Linked DNA regions of Elephas maximus indicus. The protein of the gene in region 1 interacts with the protein of each later gene in a biochemical or structural test. Links are inferred from orthologs where the notes say so. Each region holds a gene or a part of one and is shown in the gene's direction. Other genes may lie near its edges.

Region 1 (10,494 bases):
TCTTCTTCCTATTTGTTTCCACAGAGGAAAAGATAAGAAAAGCCTGATGAAAGCAAGCGATAGTAAAGCCCATTCACCTACTGCCATCCAGTCGATTCCGGCTCACAGGGACCCTACTAGACAGAGTAGAAATGCCCCATAGGGTTTCCAAAGCTGTGAATCTTTACAGAAGCAGACTGCCACGCTTTTATCCCATGGAGCAGCTGGAAGCTTTGAACCACTAACTGTTTTGTCAGCAGCTGAGAGCTTTAACCACTGTGCCACCAGGGCTCCTTAGTAAAGCCCCCTCCCCAAAAATATCACCGTTACATATGCTACTAATTGCCAGAAATATTAGTGGTTTAATGACCCTGGAGCCCTGATGAGGCAGTGGTTAAGAGCTCAGCTGCTAACCAAAAGGTTGGCAGTTCAAATTCACCAGCTGCTCCTTGGAAACCCTATAGGGCAGTTCTAATCTGTCCTATAGGGTCACTATGAGTTGGAATCAACTTGAGGGCAACAGATTTGGTTTGTAACGACTGTCATGGATTGAATTGTGTCCCCCCAAAAATATATGTCGACTTGGTTAGGCCATGTGTGATTGTCCTCCATTTTGTGATTTTCCTATGTATTATAAATCATAATCTCTGTCTGTGGTTAAAGAGAATTAGGGTGGGATGTAACACCCTCGTTCAGGCTGCATTCCTGATCCAATGTAAAAGATATTCCCTGGGGTGTGGCCTGCACCACCTTTTATCTCTCAAGAGATAAAAGGAAAGAGAAGCAAGCAGAGTGTTGGGGACCTCAAACCACCAAGATAGCAGCACCAGGAGCAGACCACATCCTTTGGACACAGGGTCTGAGAAGCTCCTCAACCAGGGGAAGATTGAGGACAATGAACTTCCTCCTGCTCTGACAGTGAGAGAAAGCCTCCCCCTGGAGCCGACGCCCTGAATTTGTACTTGTAGCCTACTAGACTGTGAGAGAATAAATTTCTCTTTGTTAAAGCCATCCACTTGTGGTATTTCTGTTATGGCAGTGCTGGATGATTAAGACAATGACCTTAAAAAGAAAAAATTCTTAGGAAAACTTAACTTACAGCACTTTATATTACTAGATACACAAATAAAAAGACAAAATCTCTGTGTATAAAAAAAGTTATGATCTACTAGGTAACAGAACATATACAAACAAATAACTATAGCATAAAGCAAAAATGTTAAGAGAAATTGTAATAACTTGCTTCATGGGAGTATAGGGGCCAGAGAAATTTCTACCAGGCTTGGGGGAAACTAGTCTATACTTCAAGGGGTGAGTCTTAAAGTATGACTGCAAATCGCAAAGGAAGTGATAGAAAACATATATGAAGAACACATTTGGGGAACATGTCCAGTTTGGATATAACACAAAGTATATTAAGGAAACAGCTGGAGATACAACTGAAAAGACAGAATGGATTCAGATCATGAAAAGTTGTAAATGTCAGGATAATGAGTACAGATATTATTCAGTAGGCAAAGGGGAATACCATGATCACAGTGGTACTTTCGTAAGTATTTACTAAATATCTAAAAATGTCTTAGCGATAGGTAAATAAGACCAGCGGTTGCTGACCTTTTGGGGGTGTGCCTGTCTTGTATCTCTTTGCCCTCAAATCCATTCTCAATTCTTCCCTTGCTCTTCACCTGCTCTGACAGGAGGGCTGATCTCATGCAGGCAGTATTTCCCATGGTCCCATGGCAGCTGACTCTGGCTGGGTTTGACCAACAGGATGTACTGGTGGGAGACTGGAGGGTAGAAGATTTTTTCTCCTATTCCCTCTCTGCCTGGAGCAGTATCTCTTATATGGCTATAAGACAGGTCCACCTTCTATCTTCCAGTAAACCCAGCCTTATCTCTCTTCTTCCTCCTGCTTAGGGTAGTGGCTTCCTGCTGCTGTTAACCTAAGTTGTTCTTTGGAGGTGCAGCTATTCTATCACAATTGTAATCAATTCCCTCATTAAATTCCCCCTGTATTAAATACTTGGATTGTCTTCTGTGTTACAGGAGGGAAGGTGGCTCCTACAGAAAGTAACAAACCTATTTAGGAATTTGAAGAAAGCTCTGGACCCTTCACCCATAAAAATACCTCCACCTGCACATAAATTTTTAATTTTGGATTTAAGTTGCAGATTAAGTTCTTGAACAAAACAAATAGGTAGGTAAACACATAGCTGCAATAAAACATGATAAACGTACGAAAGAAGTAACGGATGATGCTATGGGAGTATTTAAAGATAAAGTACTACCTGTACCTATTGGAAAAGGGTTCAGAGATCATGCTTGGCCTCAACATTGAGTACAAGCGTATCAGAAAGACAAGTAGAAAAGTACTGCGGGCAGAGGAACAGAATAAAAATATTTGGAGAAATGATAAGTAGTTTGGAGCATGTGGTAGATGTTGAGAAGCTGTGATCAAACAGAAGAGATAGATTATGATCAGTTCCACAGCCCACCTTGTATGATATACCAACAAAAACCAAACTGGTGGCCCAAAGGCAATAAACAACGATTTGATGTACTCTGGCCTGTACAATATTTAAAGAAATTCCAGAAGGCAACAGCTGGAATGTGGTTGTGGTTGACCAACGGACTGTTTAGGTGGAGCAGTGACATCACAGTCAGAGCAGTATGCTGAAGAATGAAAGATAAAGTAGAGCAAGCAAGTAAAGCTCAACGTTCTCTGAATAAGTTTGACCTATGAAAAGGTGACATACAGAGTTAGATTAAAAAAAAAAAGTGAGGCAGGGGCCAGGAAAGGGTTTTGCTGCGTGTGTGTGCTTTTAAGGGTGGAAAATTATGTAAACTCTAAGAGTAAAGATCTCTCTTTATTCTTAGAACTGGCACAGCATTTGGAATGTGCTAGGCACTGAAAGATTTGCAAAAAAAAATAATGAAGAAAAAGGGCCAATAATGAGAGGGAGAAAGGGTACTGATGGGAGCAAGAATTCTGAGCAAATACTGAAACTGTTAATATTTTAAGCCACAAAATTTTGGGATGATAGACTTGTATGTGTTGATATGGGAAGGGCTCCAAAATACAACGTTAAGGGAAAAAAAGCAAGAGCAGTAAGTGTGGGAAGACTTGCTGTTTTGGTATGTATTATACTATGGAACACTTGGAAGTTTTTTAATAACTGCATAATAGTTTTAACTTTTAAAACAGGAGGCACAGCATGAATGTGTTAGGAAAATTGTAATAACAGTAAATAAAATGGAATGCAAGAAGGAAGACTACATGGGAAGCTAAGAAAAAAATACAAGTGAGAAGTAATGGGAGGCATATTGCTAGGAGTGATTGACAGTAAAAATAGAATGCAGATGACGAAAAAGATTTTTAGGATAAGACAAGAATGCACCTGGAGTTTTCATCCATTAAAAAAAAGGAAGAAATCAAGTAGAGCAGCTGGTTTGTGGAGAATGAATACTCACAAGCTGGTGAGAATTATTCTAACTGGATAATTAGATTGCTTTCTTAAGACCACTACAGTACTCACTGGGGGGGTGATTCTGCCCATCACTCTGGACGTATTGGCAAATGTCTGGAAATATTTTTTCAATGTCAGAACTGTGGGGGGCTACCGGCATCCAGTGGATAGAGGCCAGGGATACTGCTAAACATCCCATAAAACATGGAACAGCTCCCCATAACAAAGAATTTTCTGACCCAAAATGTCAATAGTACCAAGGTTGAGAAACTGTTTCATTATTAAGACTACGGTCACTGAAAATGCAAAGGCATTACCAAACTCAAAATTTTTAAGCAAACAACATGCATGGAGGAAAAAGAAAGAATGTCAATGTATATCATGAAAGGACTTTTTGTTGGCATACATGTAGCCTAATAAATATAACCAGCTTTTTACCACAGATAAAGATGTAGGTTAACTATGTTGATAATTCAATTCTGATAAAGTCAGCAAAAGATTAACCAAACAGTAATAAAATATTAATTTAAACTTAAATCATTAAATGAGTTTCTCCAAACTTGGATGGTGGAATCCATTTCCCCCAGTGTTTCCTACAAAATGTGCTTATCAAGAACCCTGAAACGGAACAACCAGAATGGAAATAATGAGAATGTCCACACACTGTGAAGAACATAACCAATGTCACTGAACAACTTGTGTAAAAATTGTTGAATGGGAACCGAAACTGCTGTGTAAACCTTCAACAAAAATACAACAAAATATTATTTAAAAAAAAAACCTGCATAAACACCTTTTTTGGGGCAGAGCTTAGTATAGAACAAGACAAATGGGTTTTCCTAACAATAAAATTATGGCTGTGGATACTATGGAAAGTTTCAGCACAAATGTTTAGTGTTTACATTTAGGGATATCACATATTCTGTCTGTAAATCACTGGCCCAGGTTTTGAGCTTTACGTGGCGCACGTTCCCAGCAGTAGAATCTTCTTCATTCTTTCAAAGCCAAACAACAAAATCCGTTTGCCCACAGAGACAGTACACCCTGACAGACAAATGACCTAGAGAACTAATCTCTCCTCAAATGCAGAAAAAACTAACTAGAAAATGTTCAACTGGAAGGCATTTCCTCTCTAAATTTTTTGGCTAATCGAAGGAGTAAGAATCGCTGCTGTTGTAAAATATGCAACTGGCATTTCAAACCTCTACACTGGACGACTTACTCCGGGCGGGGGGAGGAAGGGAGGATCACCCCCACTGGTCCCAAATTCGTAGCTCTAAAGGCGAGTTATGCGAAGGGCGTCAGGAAGATCGTTCTACAAAGCTAGGTGCAAGGGGAAGTCCTATTTTTCCCGGTTTGGCCTCAGCTTATGATAAGGGAAAGTGCGATCAAGGTTGAAGACGCACCGTCAGTCGCCCGTCACGTAGGCAACTGTCTTTCAGGGGCTCCCACTAAGTGTCCAGGCCTGACTTTCCCTCCGAACCCGGGCCCCACGTATTCCGCTCCGTGCTTCTCTTTGGCTCTCCTCTCGCACGCAGCCTCTGAGGAGAGGAGCATCCACACAAACAAGCTTAAACTACCAAAGCCTTCGGCTGAAGGAGAATCACCGCGTACGAACTTGTGGGCGGAGAGGCAAAACCCCAAAGCTTCCCCGCCCAAGGAAAACCTTTTGCCCCAAACGTCCTTCCGTCCTACTTAGGCTGGTCCAATACCCTCCCTCCTGCGTCCGCGCTTACCCAAAACCAGCCGGGCTACGTCCGAAGGTAACAACATGATAGAAGCCGCAGAAAAAAATCACAATAAGAGACTAAACTAAGATAAGGGCAAACACAGCAACTGCTCCTGCGCCGCATCTCCCGGTTCCACTGGCGGTACTGAACCCGCGGCAATTTGTCCCGCCTCTTTTGCTCCACGCCAGCCAATCGCTTCCGCGGGAGAAAGAAAGGCGCCGAAATGAAACCCGCCCCCGTTCTCCTTGACCGGACGTCATTTCCGTCCTCATATTTTGAGGGGTGGGGCAGATGAGAGCGAGGAGGTGGAGTGCAAGCGCAAGAGCCGGAGCTAGAGGCCGGGCGTCAATTGAAAGGTCTCTCCCCATTGGTGGGAAGGAAAGCGCAGGCGCGTGTCCTCAGTGGAGCCGAATGTTTTGGGAGTGCGAGTGTTTTGAGCGAAGGAAAGCGTGTGATGTGCGGCGCGCATGGGCAGAATGTGCGCAGGCGCCGGCTCGGCGTGGCTTCTTCCTTGCCAGACGGACGCTGCGCAGTCACGCCAGGTTTGAACCGGAAGCGGGAATAGGTGCGTGGATAACGGGTTCGAGAAGCTGCAGCCGCAGGAGGAGGCGAGAGGATCGCGGATTTGAGCAGTAGCCACTGCCGACTCAGGCGATACGACTCTGGCCACCAGTGCCGTTACCGTCAGAGCCCAGCGGTAGGAGCACGGAAGCAGGTTTTGGGGTTGTGCGATGGGGAGTTCAGCCTTACCGAATCCACCTGTCCTCGCCCCCAGATGCCGAGCCTCACGCACTCTGCCAGTAAAAACCCTTTAATCCCTCTGCTTCAGCACATTCTCTGCACTCCTTTCCCGCCCCCCACCGGGTTTAGCCGTCACCCTCTTGCGCGCCTCTTTTATTTTTACTGCCCAGATTTGCCTAGTTGACTTTTTTTCTTTCATACTTTTTTTCTTTCATAATTATTGCTTCCAATCGGCAGCCATTTATTGATGCCTAAATTACAGCCTCGTGGTTAAAGAACATAGGCTCGGTGCCAGTGCACATTCTTGCGTGAGTTGGAATCTGTCAGCTGTGTGACCTCGCTGTGCTGTCTTCCATCTGAGAATAAATGAGATAATCCTTTCCTGTGGTGAGCACCCATGGGTATCCTGATTTTACCAGGTGCAGTTAAGTGAAAAGACAATTACAATTCAAGGTGATAATGTGATAGAAGACTATTGTGATGGTGGAGAAGTTGAGTCAGGTTTGTGTGGGAACTCAGCCTAGGAAGATTAGTTTGTGGTGAGACCTTGCAGTGTCAGAATTGCCCCTGGAGAATAGTAGGAGCCTTCCAGACAGGAAAAGTGCATGCGAAGGCACAAAAGTGTTGAAGGTTCCTGAAGCACAAGAGAGGGAGGTCTGGCGTTGAATGAAATAGATTTCAGAGTCTTCAACATGTTGAAGTGATGGGAACGGATGACATCACACCAAGAGAACATGGTGTGAGAAGTATGGAGACTAGGATTTTCTTTCATGTGTAGGTGGAAGAAGAACCACTCTTCAAAAGGAACTAACGATGAAGCAGTCAGAAAGGAAAGGAATAATGATGATTGCTAGCATTTATCGAGCATTTGCTTTTTTTCCAGGCACTGTGTTAAACACAGGGCTTTGAACTGGTTCTTCCTGGTTCAGTCATGGCCCAGGAAGTGAATTTTCAAAATTTGTTTGAACTAGAATGATAACCTGAGTGGAAAAATTACAGGCAGAAACCTTGTTGGAAACTTAATCTCCCTTTTAGAAAACAAGGGCAGTGTATGCATTACATAGCAACCAGTTGTCTTGCCTGTCAGATTTTCAGCGGAGTGGGAAACAGCATGCATAGCTTAAAGATTTCTGCTGACTGGACTGCTTTGAATGTGTGTTGCTCTCCTCAGTCCTGCCAATAATCCAGTCTCACACATTAGGCCCCTGAAAGGGCTCACTGCCCTTTTCCCAGTCTTCCATTCCAGGGCTTTGAATGTAATTTTTCCAGGATTCCAACAAATACAGTCTGACTGCAGGACCCACACTTCTAACCACAGGAAAAGGATGGCATGCCAAGGGCAGAGTTATTTTCAGGAAGGTAGAGGGTAGACATCATCATTCTGCAAAGGGATCAGGTTGAGATCTAAAATGGAATGTTGGATTTGCTCATTCACAGGCTGTTGTATATATATGTGTGTTTGTATATATATGTGCGTATGTATAGTGTCAGTTGAATGTTGGGAACCTAGATAGCTCTGGATTAATGTATGAATGGAGTTCAACTTCATCTGGTGATACTCTTTTATAACTCACTAATCCCTCTGTCCTTTCATTTCTTCCAGCATACAAACTCTTTTCCATCTTAGGACCCTTTGGTTATGGTAGCCTTCCTCCCTGAAACTTTGGTCTTCTAGCTTTTCCTATAATTGACATCATTTCGTTTTGATTTAGAGTTTATTATAGCCACAGCTGAGAGATGTCCCCTGACAGTTTATCCGAAATCATCCTCTTTCCATTTTCCATCAAAGTACTTTTGTTTCCTTTGAGGCATATATCATAATTTGTAATTATGCATTGATTTATCAGTTTGTTTATTGGCATTCTCTCTTACTAGATGATGAACTCTATGAAGGTAAGATTTTTGTCTCTTTAGTCCATTATACATCTAAAAACCAAAACCAGACTCACTGCCACTGAGTCAATTCTGTCTCAGTCGTCCAGTGCTGCTATAACAAAAATACCACAAGTGGATGGTTTTAACAAAGAGAAATTTATTCTCTCACAGTCTACTAGGCCAGAAGTCCGAATTCAGGGTGGCAGCTCCAGGGGAAGGCTTTCTCTCTCTGTCGGCTCTGGGGCAAGGTCCTTGTCATCAATCTCCATCCGTTGAGAAACTTCTCAGCACAAGGACCCTGGGTCTCATTTCTTTGTGGTATGAGATCCCAGTCTCTCTACTTGATTCTCTCTTTTATATCTCAAGAGATGGATTTAAGATACAACCTAATCTATAGACTGGGTCCTGCCTCATTAACATAACTGCCTCTAACCCTTCCTCATTAACATCATAGAGGTAGAATTTACAACACATAGGAAAATCACATCAGATGACAAAATGGTAGACAATCACACAATACTGGGAATTATGGCCTAGCCAAATTGACACACATAATTTTGGGGAGGACACAGTTCAGTCCGTAACACTGACTCGTAGTGACTATATAGAACAGTAGAACCTCCTCATAGGGTTTCCAAGGGCTCCCTGGTGGATTTGAATTGCCAACCTTTTGAATAGCAGCCGAGCTGTTAACCACTGTGCCACCAGTGCTCCATTATATGTCTAGCTATCCCTAAATTGTACCTGGAAGCAGCAGGTGCCCAGCAGTAGTGTTTGCATATTATCAGTGAATGAACATCTCCTGTTTGTGTAAATGCTGATATTAAACTGTCTTGTTTTCTTCCAAGTAATTAATCTTTGAGAAACTGAGGAGAGAAAAAACAAATTTAGAAAAGCCACAGCTTGAAAAAAAAAGTCAAGTTTAAGGCTACTTCTTCTTGGAAGTATCACAGGTTCAGTAAACATGCGTCTTTTCATATCAGAAAGAACATCTTTAGTGTGTTTAGGAATAAAAGTGTATTACTAATGTGTTTTCATATTGCTAATGTGTCCCAATTTCATTTTCCTTATTGATTGAGTTAGGAAGTCTTTAAGATGGAAGGGGAAGGATTTCCAGATAAGTCGTAAAAAATGGAAAAATGAAAATGACAGTCTGTGTCCTTATGAAGTTACAATCAAATGAAAATGAAAATCTTGTAAATAATCTGTAAACTACAACAGTCAACTGGATGTTTTAATAGAGATAAGGGTCAGAAGAAATATCAATTAATGCAAATGGAGAAAAGAATTAGAGCTACCTGCCACTGAAATGGGTGGTCTTGTTAGGTAGTTTGCACTTATTAGAATGCTCAAAGAGAAGATAGTAATTTTGTCTCCCAGTTACTCCCAGTTTTAAGATTCTGTGAGATTAGTCAGGGCTAGAGAAACATACCTGATCTTGAAAGAATGAACAGAATTTGGAAGAATGGATAGAAGGACGTTTTCCTGCCTGTTTTCCTTTTGAGATAAGTGTACATTTAGATGTAACGTACATACAGATGTACATATTTTTATGATTATAATGAACGTTTGTAGGCTGACAGAAATGATATATATCAGAAACAATTGAATGCTGTTTTTTACAATAATTTTTTATTAAAATTTATCCAGAGAGGGTTTGATTATATTAAAACCAAAACCCACTGCTGTCGAGTCTATTCCGACTCATAGCGACCCTATAGGACAGAGTAGAGCTGCTCCATAGAGTTTCCAAGGAGCACCTGGTGGATTTGAACTGCCAACCTTTGGGTTAGCAACCATAGCACTTAACCACTGCACCACCAGGGTTTCCCGTTTTGATTATATTAGAGAACTCAAAATGAGAGAAGCTACTACAATGGAATCGAGGCAGAGTGAAATATAGTTGACCTTTGATATTTACAAGGAATACCACTATAACATGATTTCCTTCATTTCATTTCAAAACAGGAATATCATTTCCTCCTTCTTTTATTTATTAAATGAGAACCATGAAGCCAGTTGAGATGTTGAGTGCCAGGCAAGACTTACTAGCTCTGGTAGCTTCCTACGTATCAGTTCCAAAGCATGAGCAACTTAAGCTTTTGCGTCAGCAAAATGACAAGTTACTACATATGAGGGTACTTTTAAGATGGTTCAGACTGTTACTGTTAAATGCTTACGTGCTGTTTTCCTTATTCTTTGCTGGGCTGTCTTCTAATCATCTTTTGTGTCTCAAGTTAATTATGATGTATCTTGGAAGAGATCTCAGAGCATTATAATAAATATCGTTATCCTGCTGGTGGAAACAGAGCACACATTTATGTTGAAGCATTGTTTTGATCTATTCTAAGAATCACTTTAAATATGGAATTGTTAAGAAAAATCATTTGATCACATCGTACCTCAGGTTTTATAGGTAAACATAACCACGTATTGATACCACTGTTGAAATTAATTTTATTTACTTATTTTGCAGACAGTGATGTATGGCCTGAGATTCTGAACCATGAGTCTAGCACTTAATGATCTGCTTATTTGCTGCCGTCATCTGGAACATGACAGGGCCACAGAACGAAGGGTAGTGAATTACTTAAATCTTAATCTTTTCTTGAAACAGGTGTGTGATTGGTAACCTATCATCATGTTCACTTTCCATTTTCAGAAAGAAGTTGAGAAATTTAAGCACCTTATTCGGGATCCTG
Region 2 (10,547 bases), on another chromosome or scaffold:
TAAGGGTGTCCAGGGGCCATACTGTTGGGGTTTCTACAGTCTCTGCCAGGCCAGTAAGTCTGGTCTTTTTTTGTGAGTTAGAATTTTGTTCTACATTTTTCTCCAGCTCTGACGGGGATCCTCTATTGTGATCCCTGTCAGAGCAGTCAGTGGTAGTAGCCGGGTACCATCTAGCTGTGCTAGGCTCAGTCTGGTGTAGGCTGATCACACCCAATAACCAAGTAGAAGGCTAATAACAACAGAATGTTTCAAGAACTACCAAGTTAACTGGGTTAATTCTGCAGACTCTTTTTGGAAGTAATGCCTCCAGGTGGACCTATGACTATAGTAAAATATTGTATTAATAAAAATATATGAATTTTCAAAATTGCAAAAGGCCCCATTAATATATCAGGCAAAACAATGGGCTCTATAATGCTGAAAACACATCACTTAGAAGAGAGACACCAGGTTGCAAAAAAACCTAAAGCCTGAGCCCTGGTGGCACAGTGGTTAAGAGCTCGGCTGCTAACCAAAAAGGCCGGCAGTTCAAATCGGCAGCCGCTGCTTGGAAACCCTGTGGAGAAGTTCTACTTTGTCCTATAGGGTTGCTATTAGTTGGAATTGAAGCAGGCAGTCTTGAAAGGGTTATTAACCATCCCATAATAGTTGTTTTTCAGTAAAGCCTACTCTTGCTACACTTTTGTTACAACATTTAAAGCACTTCACTATGATTGGTCAAATCCCTGTGTTTCTTCTCCTCTCCTGGCAGCAGGCGGAGGGGACAGGGCACTGACTGCAAATCTACCTGCTATATGACCTTCCTGGGGTGGCAGTAGTGAGCTGTTAACATTTTTTTTAGGGCTGTGCACAATATTTTTAGAGCTGTGCACAGAAATTCATTCACTAAAATTATGCGGACTGAGCAGGCATCACAAGACTGAAGATCTTCCCCTCACTGTTCATACATATGTATGTCACTCCCTATAAAGTGAGCAAATCTGCCCTGGTTCAGGGAGCTGGCAGCCTTAGGTCAGGAGACCCTGCTTGCCTCCCAGGTTGCAAACTGTGAATAAACCTTTCTGTTTTTCCAACCCTGTGTCTGGCTGACTTCAATTCGCTAGTCTGCTTGGCAAGAACCTATGAGTTGACGGCTTCAGAATCGACAACAGGTTTGGTTTTTTTTTGGTTTATATTTTTTATATATACTATTTCATATAAACCTGTTTGTTTACCTGTACGGACATAACAAAAATGAAGCTCAGCCTGGTAATTTGTTGCCTGGGTGAGAAACCCTTTGAGACATAGGAGTAGGTCTTGAGTTATGACCAAAAATCAATTGATTAAAGACCCAGATACAGTAACCTCACCTGGGTGAAGATGGCATTTCCTTTTCCTTTGGTTTTGGTCAGATTTCTGAAAGCCCAGGAAGGAATCAAAATATTACATAAACTGTAGGAGGAAAACAAAATAAGTAAAGCAATGATTCTAGGAAGCATGGGACAAGAGGATCCAATTTTTGTGGGGCCTGAAGCTGATATAATTTGTGTGGTCCTTTATCTAGAGAAAAGAAGGGGCCTTGGGAGGGGCCATCAAGCAAAGGACTCTGAAACGTAAGCTTCATTAGCTTCACAATAAACGATTGTTTTGGTATGTGTTGTCTGCTCTTACAGATATTTGATATGTTCATAAGAATCAGTCATACTAAAACTTTAACTGCAGTTTAAAATTTTAAGGATATTTAGTTGAGTCTGTAAACAATGTTCACATACTCAAAAGGTTGGTTTCAGGTTTTATTGGCTAAAAGAATTCAATAAATTGAACATTAAACAAATAGTTGTGGATGTTCTTCTGTACATATAAGAGCCTCTCCATCAGTAATAGAGAATTCTATCAGTATTAGCCAATTCATAATGACCATTACTGGTAGAAATAATCAGGACCATATAAAACAGAAAATGACAAAAACTCCACCCAGTAACATTTGTCTTAGCCCCCCCCCACCCAAAAAAAGAAAGGAAAAAATCACATCTTATGTATAATGTTGGAAACTGCAAAAAGTCACCCTGAATCAAATTGTACTTGATAGATAATGCGCACCCATAAAACTACAGTACCAGATGTGTAAAATTGGGCATGGATCAAATTTAAACGATGAATTAAACCCTCATTGTAAAATTCGCCCAGCAAAGAATTGATCCACATACAAATAATTGTAAAAAAAGAAAAGTGGAAAAAAAATTAGAAATCACTAAATTGAACTGTATAGAAAACTGAACAGAGAATTAAGTCTCAATGAAAAATCCATCAATGTCAGAACAATTCTGATGAAAATATTTGTATTCATAAAGCGGAGGCAAAATGACCTCGGGGATTATAACTGTAGATCAAAAACATTCAGAGAGAATGCATATTGAGCACCTAGCACAGATATAATGGATGTACCTGGCACGTGGTATGTACTCAATAAACACCAGATTGTTTTAAAAGATAATTTCTCTTCTACTTACTCTTGCTGCAATTTCCCTAGCAGTCCCAAGTCTGGGAATAATGAACTATGCCCCTACCTGGAAGAGGGTAATTAAAGAAATCCCTTCTATGTGACAGGAAGACTCCCAATTAAAACCAAACCTTGAGAGATGAAATTACTACACACACACCAAAAAAAGGGAAACACTATTTTAATGCTGATTCAGACCTGAACCCTCTATTCAACTTACCTGCTCATGGAGGTGTTGAAAAGATGTGAAATCATATTTTGATGGTTATTATGCTCTAAGTTAAGACATTCTGGCTTCACTTTGGATTTTATTTTTAAGCGTATACTCTCCTCAGCTGAATTTATAACTAGTTGAACCCGAAATGAGGTAGATTAACCTAACATCTTAAATTTCCCAGAATAGTCTTAATTCATAACATTTTATCCTAATATTCCCATAAATATGCTTTTACTTGTCATACTATGTATGTTCTAATCACTTTAGGATTAATATAATAATGTCATCTCGTTTCTGCCTCAGACTTCTGTCTTTGGCTATATCTTGTTTAATTCTCAGTGATGGTTTGGAAGCTTACAGAATTTATATAAGAAAGAGATGACACACAAGCAACATCTGGCTCCCAAGTATCTTTTGTTTGGCCCACACGGTCTTGAGACAGAATTAGGCTGAAGCAGACTGGTTGGGCCCCCAGCACATAGACTGGGAAAAGGTCGAACAGGACAGACAGTAGAATAAACAACCTGACCTACTGGCACTGGTGCAACCATAACCCACCGCCTGGAGATTAGAACGGAACGCACAGGCCCTGTGGGGCAGAATGTTTCAGCTGCGGGGTGACACGAACTGAAATGTTCTAGGATGTTGCAAATAAATTGTTGATGTAGAGCTTGCAGGTCTCCACAGGTGCAGAGCACATGCAAAAGAAGTTAAGAGTGACCACTGTTTGGCCTTCCCGAGCCCGCAGAAGCGGGCGATGTGACAAAGAAAACCAGTGCGCCTGTATCACATCCCATAATGAGTCATGTCAAGGGGAACCAAAGGACTTCCATCTTGAAGAAGTGCCACATGTGCACCTGCATTTACCTAACCCAACCCTTCCTCAGAAATCTCCGCCCTTTCCCCCGAAAACCTCATGAATAAACATCAATACCCCTCCTTGTCTAAACCCTTAAATAGTTGGCTCTTAGGCAAATCGGGGAGACAGTCTCTCCGAAGGTTCTAGCCCATACTGTTTCCTTTTGCTAGCTGCCGGCAAAATTAATTTGCTTGTGTGACTCCAGGCTGCTTCAAATAGTCTTATTGGGCGTCACGGATCTGGTTGGGTTCAACTGAGATAGGGGCCCTGGGTAACAGTCTTTTTTAAATGATTAATTTGCAAAAGCTTACGGTTCAAAAATTTTCACATAAAAATCCAGATATCTGGCTTCTACTAAAAAGCTGGCAACACTGGGCTCATACTCTTTATATATCAGTAACGATTTATCATTATGCTTAGGTGGTTATTCGTCTTACTCTGGTGAAAAAAAGTGAAAATTTAGTTCCTCTGTTATCCAGTCCATTACATTTACGGTTTTACTGACTGTCCCCAGTGGTCATTTAAGCGTGTGACCCAGTTCTGAGATGTTCTAGGAGGTATAGTAATTGCACTGGTTGATGGAATCAGACTTGCTGGCTTTGGATGCAGACTCAGTTTTCTCTTCTGTAAAATGGGGGTGTCCTAGGGTAAAATTACCAGAAAGTGATAGTAAAGCAAAAAGAAAGGTTTTATTCAGCATATTTTTGAAGGCACAAAAGTGGAAAATGGGCATGCATGCTGCCAGAGCCATGTCTGCCCAAGTCCAAGGAATATTACAGAATCATCAGTATATATTAACATTATGAATGGATAAAATCGCTGAAAGCTTCATCTTTTCACATACTGGCTAAAAACTGCTAAATTATCATGATTCTACGTTTTAAATTGTTTTTCTTAATAATCATTGGTAGGGGTTTCAGTGATGACAGTCAGAAGAGTCTTCATTGGTCCAACAACTCCTACTATTTACTAAACCCTAATAAAAAGACATAAGAGTGGAACATGTGTGGGTCTTTAGTGCTGCGTGTATGTGAGAGTTTCCCTAAAAGACGTTTTCCAAGATTGTCCTAGCTATTGTTTTTATACCTCAGGGCCCAGTTGATGTGTCCTTAGGAGTCCAGCTCCAGCTAGGTTGAATTCTTTATGCTCAAGGACAGGAAATAACGGCTTCAATTTTATCTCCTAAATGAGGAGACAATAACACTACCTACCTTATAAAAAAAAGAAAAACCTTATAGGGTTGAGTTAATAAACGTAAAATGCTTAAGACAGTGCCTGCAATTTTATAAATGCCCAGGGACCATGTCTAGTATATTTACTGTTAAATCCCAGTGTCCAGCACAGAGCCTGGAACAGGAGGCATCAAATATTTTCAAGTAAATAAATGGAAAAAAAAAATCTAATAATCTAGTAGTGCTTAGAGCAAACCAGACATTGTCCACTGTCTATAGGAAGGGCACAATCATATTATTTGAAGAATACTGGAATATAAAATGGCTGTCTTTTGAGATGGATGTCGGGCCTGGATTTACACTGAGTTGGGGAAAGGGCATCATGGGGAAGAGGATGTAAGTGTCTTATGGCCTCGCTAGGAAGAATCACAAAAACAGAGTCGCTAAACAGGGACAGAACTTGGCTCCTTCTGGAGAAGAACAAACAATCCCACGAGGTGCTACAAGGCTACTACTGTGAGTCCCTGGGGTGTGCAAATACGCGGGTTATGAGCGCAGAAGCAAGAATTTCACCACAGCGCTTTAGGTTAGGGCGTCAAAATGGTGACAGTTTGGCGGGAACAGGAAGGCGCCCAGCAAAGGAAGTGACGTAAATGTCACTCATTTGGCAGGGGTGCGGTTATGCGGCCTAGAATTTAGAACTATTATTTTGATTGGTTGTTTTCTTGGGCCCTCTTCCGGCTTTCCGCTTCCGTCTGCTAGGCCGGTCTCGCAGCTTCCGGCCCCTCAGGGAGCAGAGAGCGAGTTTTCAGACACAGGGCCAGAGAAGACAGGAAGAAGCGTAGGATTCGCGAGCTTTGATTGGCTGAAGGTAGAAGCGTCCTGGACGCTGATTGGCTCCGTCGTTCGCGGGAAGGAGTTTGTGGCGCCAGCGAAAAGTAGATACGCTGCTGCGACAACTGTAGGGCCCTGAGGTGCCCCGCCGACTCACTAGATTGGATCCTGACGGAGTCACTACCAAAATGTGGAATAGTAAATATGGGTGGGGCGGAGGAGACTGAGAATCGCGAGGAGGATTTAGCGGGACGGAGAGCCTGGGGACGGAGAGACATGGGGAGGGGGAAGGGGCAGGAACCGGAGAGGCGGGCGGGGGAGTTCGCGGGGCGGGGAAAGGTGCTGAGGAACATTCGGGAGACGGTGGGAGTGTTTGAGAGGGGTGAGGTTTGTAAGGACTTGTGGAATTTTCAGAGGCCTGGAAAGCGGCGCAGATACTGATAGTGTTGTTTGAAACAGGTGGATTTGAAAACTATGGCAGCTCCGCCTATGGTGGCGCCGGCGGCTACACACAGTCCCCGGGGGGCTTTGGGTCGCCCACACCTACTCAAGCTGAAAAGAAATCAGTAGGTTCAAAGGGTGTTTCGTTTTATTCTATCCTGTTCTAAAGCTCGTAACTCGTCTATGAGAGAAAATTTATGCGGCATATGAAGGGTATTAAATATGAACTGGTTCGGTAATTACCGGTTATTGCTCATGTTTTCTGTAATTAGGTGCTGTAAGTTTTAAAAATGAAATCTTCCCTAATTTTGCATCCATTGTTTCCTTGGCTTTGTTTTGAAATTTATCGAAATAGCCATGAATCCGTGGGAAAACTCTGAACTTGTGTTTAATGCATATTTTGCACTCTTCATGTATTCACGTAGCCAGGAGGTGAAACACGGAATAGGGGTGGGGGGAAGAACATGGGTTTTGAAGTCAAATAGACCTGTGTTTTCTTGCTCTGACACTTTACTTGGGAGTCAGTTTTGGACTTATTAAATGGGGTTGATAATATATGCCTCACAAGGTTGGGACTTGATATGTTATATTACATAGGAGCCCTGTTGGTGCAGTGGTTAAGAGCTAGGGCTGCTAGCCAAAGGGCAATTCGAATCCACCAGCCGCTCTTTGGAAACCCTATGGAGTAGTTCTCTTTCCTGTAGGGTCGATATGAGTCAAAATCAACTATGGCAACGGGTTTCGGTATTTTTTGTTTATATTTTTATATGTACTATTTCATATAATCCTTTTTGTTTACTCCATCGTACGGCAGAGGCTCAGGGAGGTGAAGGAACTACCCAAGGTTACAAAGCTAGTAAATAGCTAAAACCAGGACAGTGCACACATGATGCTGTGCAAATCCAAATCTGGTGGGCAGCCTTTTCTCTAATTGTAATTTTCTTTTTCCCAGGAAGACCAGAGGAGATTCCAGTCTTCTAGCTTTGTCTTCCTTGGGGTTGTGAAGGAGAAAACAGGTGGATAGATACTGGTTCTCGTCCTTTTATTTATCTCAGAATCCCTAGCTCAGACTGTGTATTAAGATAGCTTAGTCACAAGTTGGGGACTCAAACCCAGAGGTCATGTTTTTGAATCTAGTGCTTTTTCTACAGTAAATTAGATAAATGTGCCTGTCTGAAATATCCCCTGTTGAGTATGAACCTGTTATATTTGGTTGAACCAAACTAAGAGCCAGTATGGCAAAAACGTGGATTCAGAGCCAAACAGTCCTGCAGACCTATGTTCAAATCCTAGCTGCTAAGCCCTGGACACGTTACCACCTCTTCTGTAAAATATCTATTCTTCAAGTTGTTGAAATATATAATGTATATCAGTTGCTGTCAAGTATTTTTTCATAGTTGACAATGAACCACAGGCAACTCTGACAGTACGATATGAAACCACCATTTTTATAAGGTCTGCAGGACCGTCTGGCTCTGAATCCATGTTTTTGCCACCGTTACCATACTGGCTCTTAGTTTTCTTAATACTGAAGACGTGATGAGAATCTCAGCTGTGATAGGTGAAAACAGAAAATATAGTACATTATTTGTGAGAGAAAAATCCTGGGGCCTGTGTAGATTCTACGTTTGTGAATACTGATGTATCATAACTTCACCTGTGGATACAATAAAGTAAAATGGGAAAACATACTAGATTCCTTCACATCCTTTTGAAGGTTATTGCAGGTATGAGCAGTGAGGAGCAATAGTTAATAAAACTGCTAATGCTGAGTGCTTATGATGTTCCAGGCAATATTCTAAGTATATTACCATATTATTGCATTTAATTTTCCTGACTTTATCATTCCCAGTTGAACAGCTGAGGAAACTAATGTGCATATGAGTTAAGAAACATGTCCAAGAGCACACTACTCTTGAGTGGTTGTTGTTGACTGCATTCGGGTTGTAACCTTAACCCCCAAGCTTAGTCTCCTTCCTTCGTGACATAGCGGTTAGCTAGGCTTACTTCATACCAATTCCGGGTACTCATCGTTCAAAATTATGCTTCAGCAAAGTGAAACATTGCCAGCAGCATGAATCTTTAAGTCAAAGCTGGGACTGCTAAATCCATGAAGTCTATTATGTTCTGTCTTACAGTTATTAAGTTACTTTTTATTGATTTTGGAAAGGAAGGATTCTAATGTTTAATCTTCCGTGGCTTTTCTGCCTCATACATAGTCCCTCTGTGAGCCCTTAGACTAGAATGCCCGTCCTTTACCCACTGTTTTTCCACTATCAAAATTCTCATGCATCAAAGTCCAGCTCAAATGCTGGAGAGACTTTTTGAAATTCCCTAGGCAGAATTAGTGAGTTTTTCTGAGATGGCATAGCATGTGTAATTCTGTAGTATATCAAGATCAGGTTTGTTGTTTACATTTGTATCTTCCCTAAATTAGGAGTTACTCAAGGGCAAATTCTACCCCATCTTTATATTATTCGGTTTACCTTGGTAGGCAGAAATAAGAGTTTACAGTATTGCCAGGCTGTGGTAGGGTGTGATTTGAGTGTCCTCACTGAACATGCTTCTGCCATCCTCATTCTGTTTCTTCCCTTTAAGATGTCCAGTGTGGTGACTGTCACAACATCTTCCCTAAAGGAAGCTATACTTTTTAACTTTTTGTTGTATTTTATCCAAGGCCTGGAGCAATTCTCTCTAAAGTGCTGCCTCTCCTGGGCATTTTCAGACCTTTTCCCAATAACATCTCATCTTGTTGGTGGCTTGAATACCAACTCTAGCCTGCCTCCAGCCTGAGGCTGGGGTTTCCTCTTAGAGCTGTCTCTGGCAGCACGTTACGCTTTCATATGCTGTCGCACTCTGGCTGCCTCATTGTGGTGAATTCCCAGTGCAACATGAACTTACCCATTCACGAGGAGCTTGAGATTCAGACAAACTTAATATGAATTCTTATTCTGGTATTTATTAGCTATATGACCTTGGTTTCCATCTCTGTAGAGCAGGGTTAATGAGCTTCGTTTTGAAGCTTTGATGTTATATACATGTAAAGTGCTTGGCATGTACCTGTTGCCATTGATTTGATTCTGACTCACGGTGACCGTATAGGACAGAGTAGAACTGCCTTAAAAGGTTTCTAAAGCTGTAAATCTTTACGGAACCAGACTGCCCCATCTTCTGCAGAGCGGCTGGTGGGTTCAAACCCCTGACCTTTTGGTTAGCTGAGTGCTTAACCGTTGTACCACCAGGGCTCCTTAACACTAAACCCACCTAGTGCCATCGAGTCAATTCCGACTATAACCCACCAAAACCAAACCCACTGCCTTCAAGTCAATTCTGACTCATAGCGACCCTAAAGGACAGACTAGAACTGTCCACAGAGTTTCCAAGGCTGTAAATCTTTAGGGAAGCAGACTGCCACATATTTCTCCCGTGGAGTGGCTGGCGGGTTCCAGCTGTCAACTTCTCAGTAGCCAAGTGCTTTAACCACTGTGCCACCAGAGCTCCTTCCTTAACACCATAAAGCTAAAAAACTTGTCATCAAGTCAGTTCTGACTCGTAGGGACCCTATAGGACAGAGTAGAACTGCCCCATGGGGTTTCTAAGGAGCGGCTGGTGGATATAAACTGCCAGTGTTTTGGTTAGCTCTTAACCACTGTGCCGTCAAGGCTCCCTTAATACCATAGCAGGTGTTAAATGAGTGGTAGTTATTCTTTTCTTAATTGAATTTATGCATACTTTTTCTTTTTAGAGAGCCCGAGCCCAGCACATTGTACCCTGTACCATATCCCAGCTGCTTTCTGCCACTCTGGTTGATGAAGTGTTCAAAATTGGCAATGTTGAGATTTCACAGGTATGTAAAAGAATTTGTGGAAGAGTCATTTAATCATGTGAAGAATGTAGTAAGACTTATTTTTTATGTAAGTTTTAAAAAAATATGTAAGTCTGACAACTTGTGCAAGGCAAGGTCATGGAAGCTCCATGGACATATCCAAACTCCCTGAGGGACTAAATTTCTGGGCTAAGGGCTATGGGAACCATGGTCTTGCGGAACATCTAGCTCAACTGGCATAACACAGTTTATAAAGAAAATGTTCTACGTTCTACTTTGGTGAGTAGCGTCTGGGATCTTAAAAGCCTATGAGCGACCCTCTAGGATACTCCACTGGTCTCAACCCTTCGGGAGCAAGGAAAAATGAAGAAAACTCTCACCCCTTCGGGAGCAAGGAAAAATGAAGAACTAAAGATACAAAGGAAAGATTAGTCCAGAGGACTAACAGACCACATCTACCACGGCTGCCACCCAACTGAGTCTAGAACAACTAGATGGTTCCCGGCTACCACCACTGACTGTTCTGATAGGGATCACAGTAGAGGGTCCCAGACAGAGCTGGAGAAAAACGTAGAACAAAATACTAACTCAAAAAGATAGACCTGACTTGCTGGCCTGACAGAGACTGGAGAAACCCCAAGAGTATGGATCCCGGACACCCTTTCAACTCAGGAATGAAGTCACTCCTAAGGTTTACCCTTCAGCCAAAGATGGGACAG

What was found.
Region 2: of the proteins of ATM (region 1) and RPA2, one has a biochemical effect on the other in vitro, tested with the Homo sapiens proteins (3 studies listed by BioGRID). The link is inferred for Elephas maximus indicus from reciprocal best matches to the Homo sapiens genes ATM and RPA2.

The regions. Positions count from the first base shown.
Region 1 is NC_064825.1:11,423,973-11,434,466, reverse strand, and holds the start of ATM (serine-protein kinase ATM), read left to right. Parts: upstream 1-5,513; 5' UTR 5,514-5,873; intron 5,874-10,268; 5' UTR 10,269-10,298; coding exon 10,299-10,370; intron 10,371-10,454; coding exon 10,455-10,494. Other genes in the region: protein NPAT, read right to left, coding at 5,183-5,219.
Region 2 is NC_064821.1:68,318,084-68,328,630, reverse strand, and holds the start of RPA2 (replication protein A 32 kDa subunit), read left to right. Parts: upstream 1-5,534; 5' UTR 5,535-5,749; coding exon 5,750-5,759; intron 5,760-6,020; coding exon 6,021-6,127; intron 6,128-9,747; coding exon 9,748-9,849; intron 9,850-10,547. UniProt on the Homo sapiens protein: As part of the heterotrimeric replication protein A complex (RPA/RP-A), binds and stabilizes single-stranded DNA intermediates that form during DNA replication or upon DNA stress.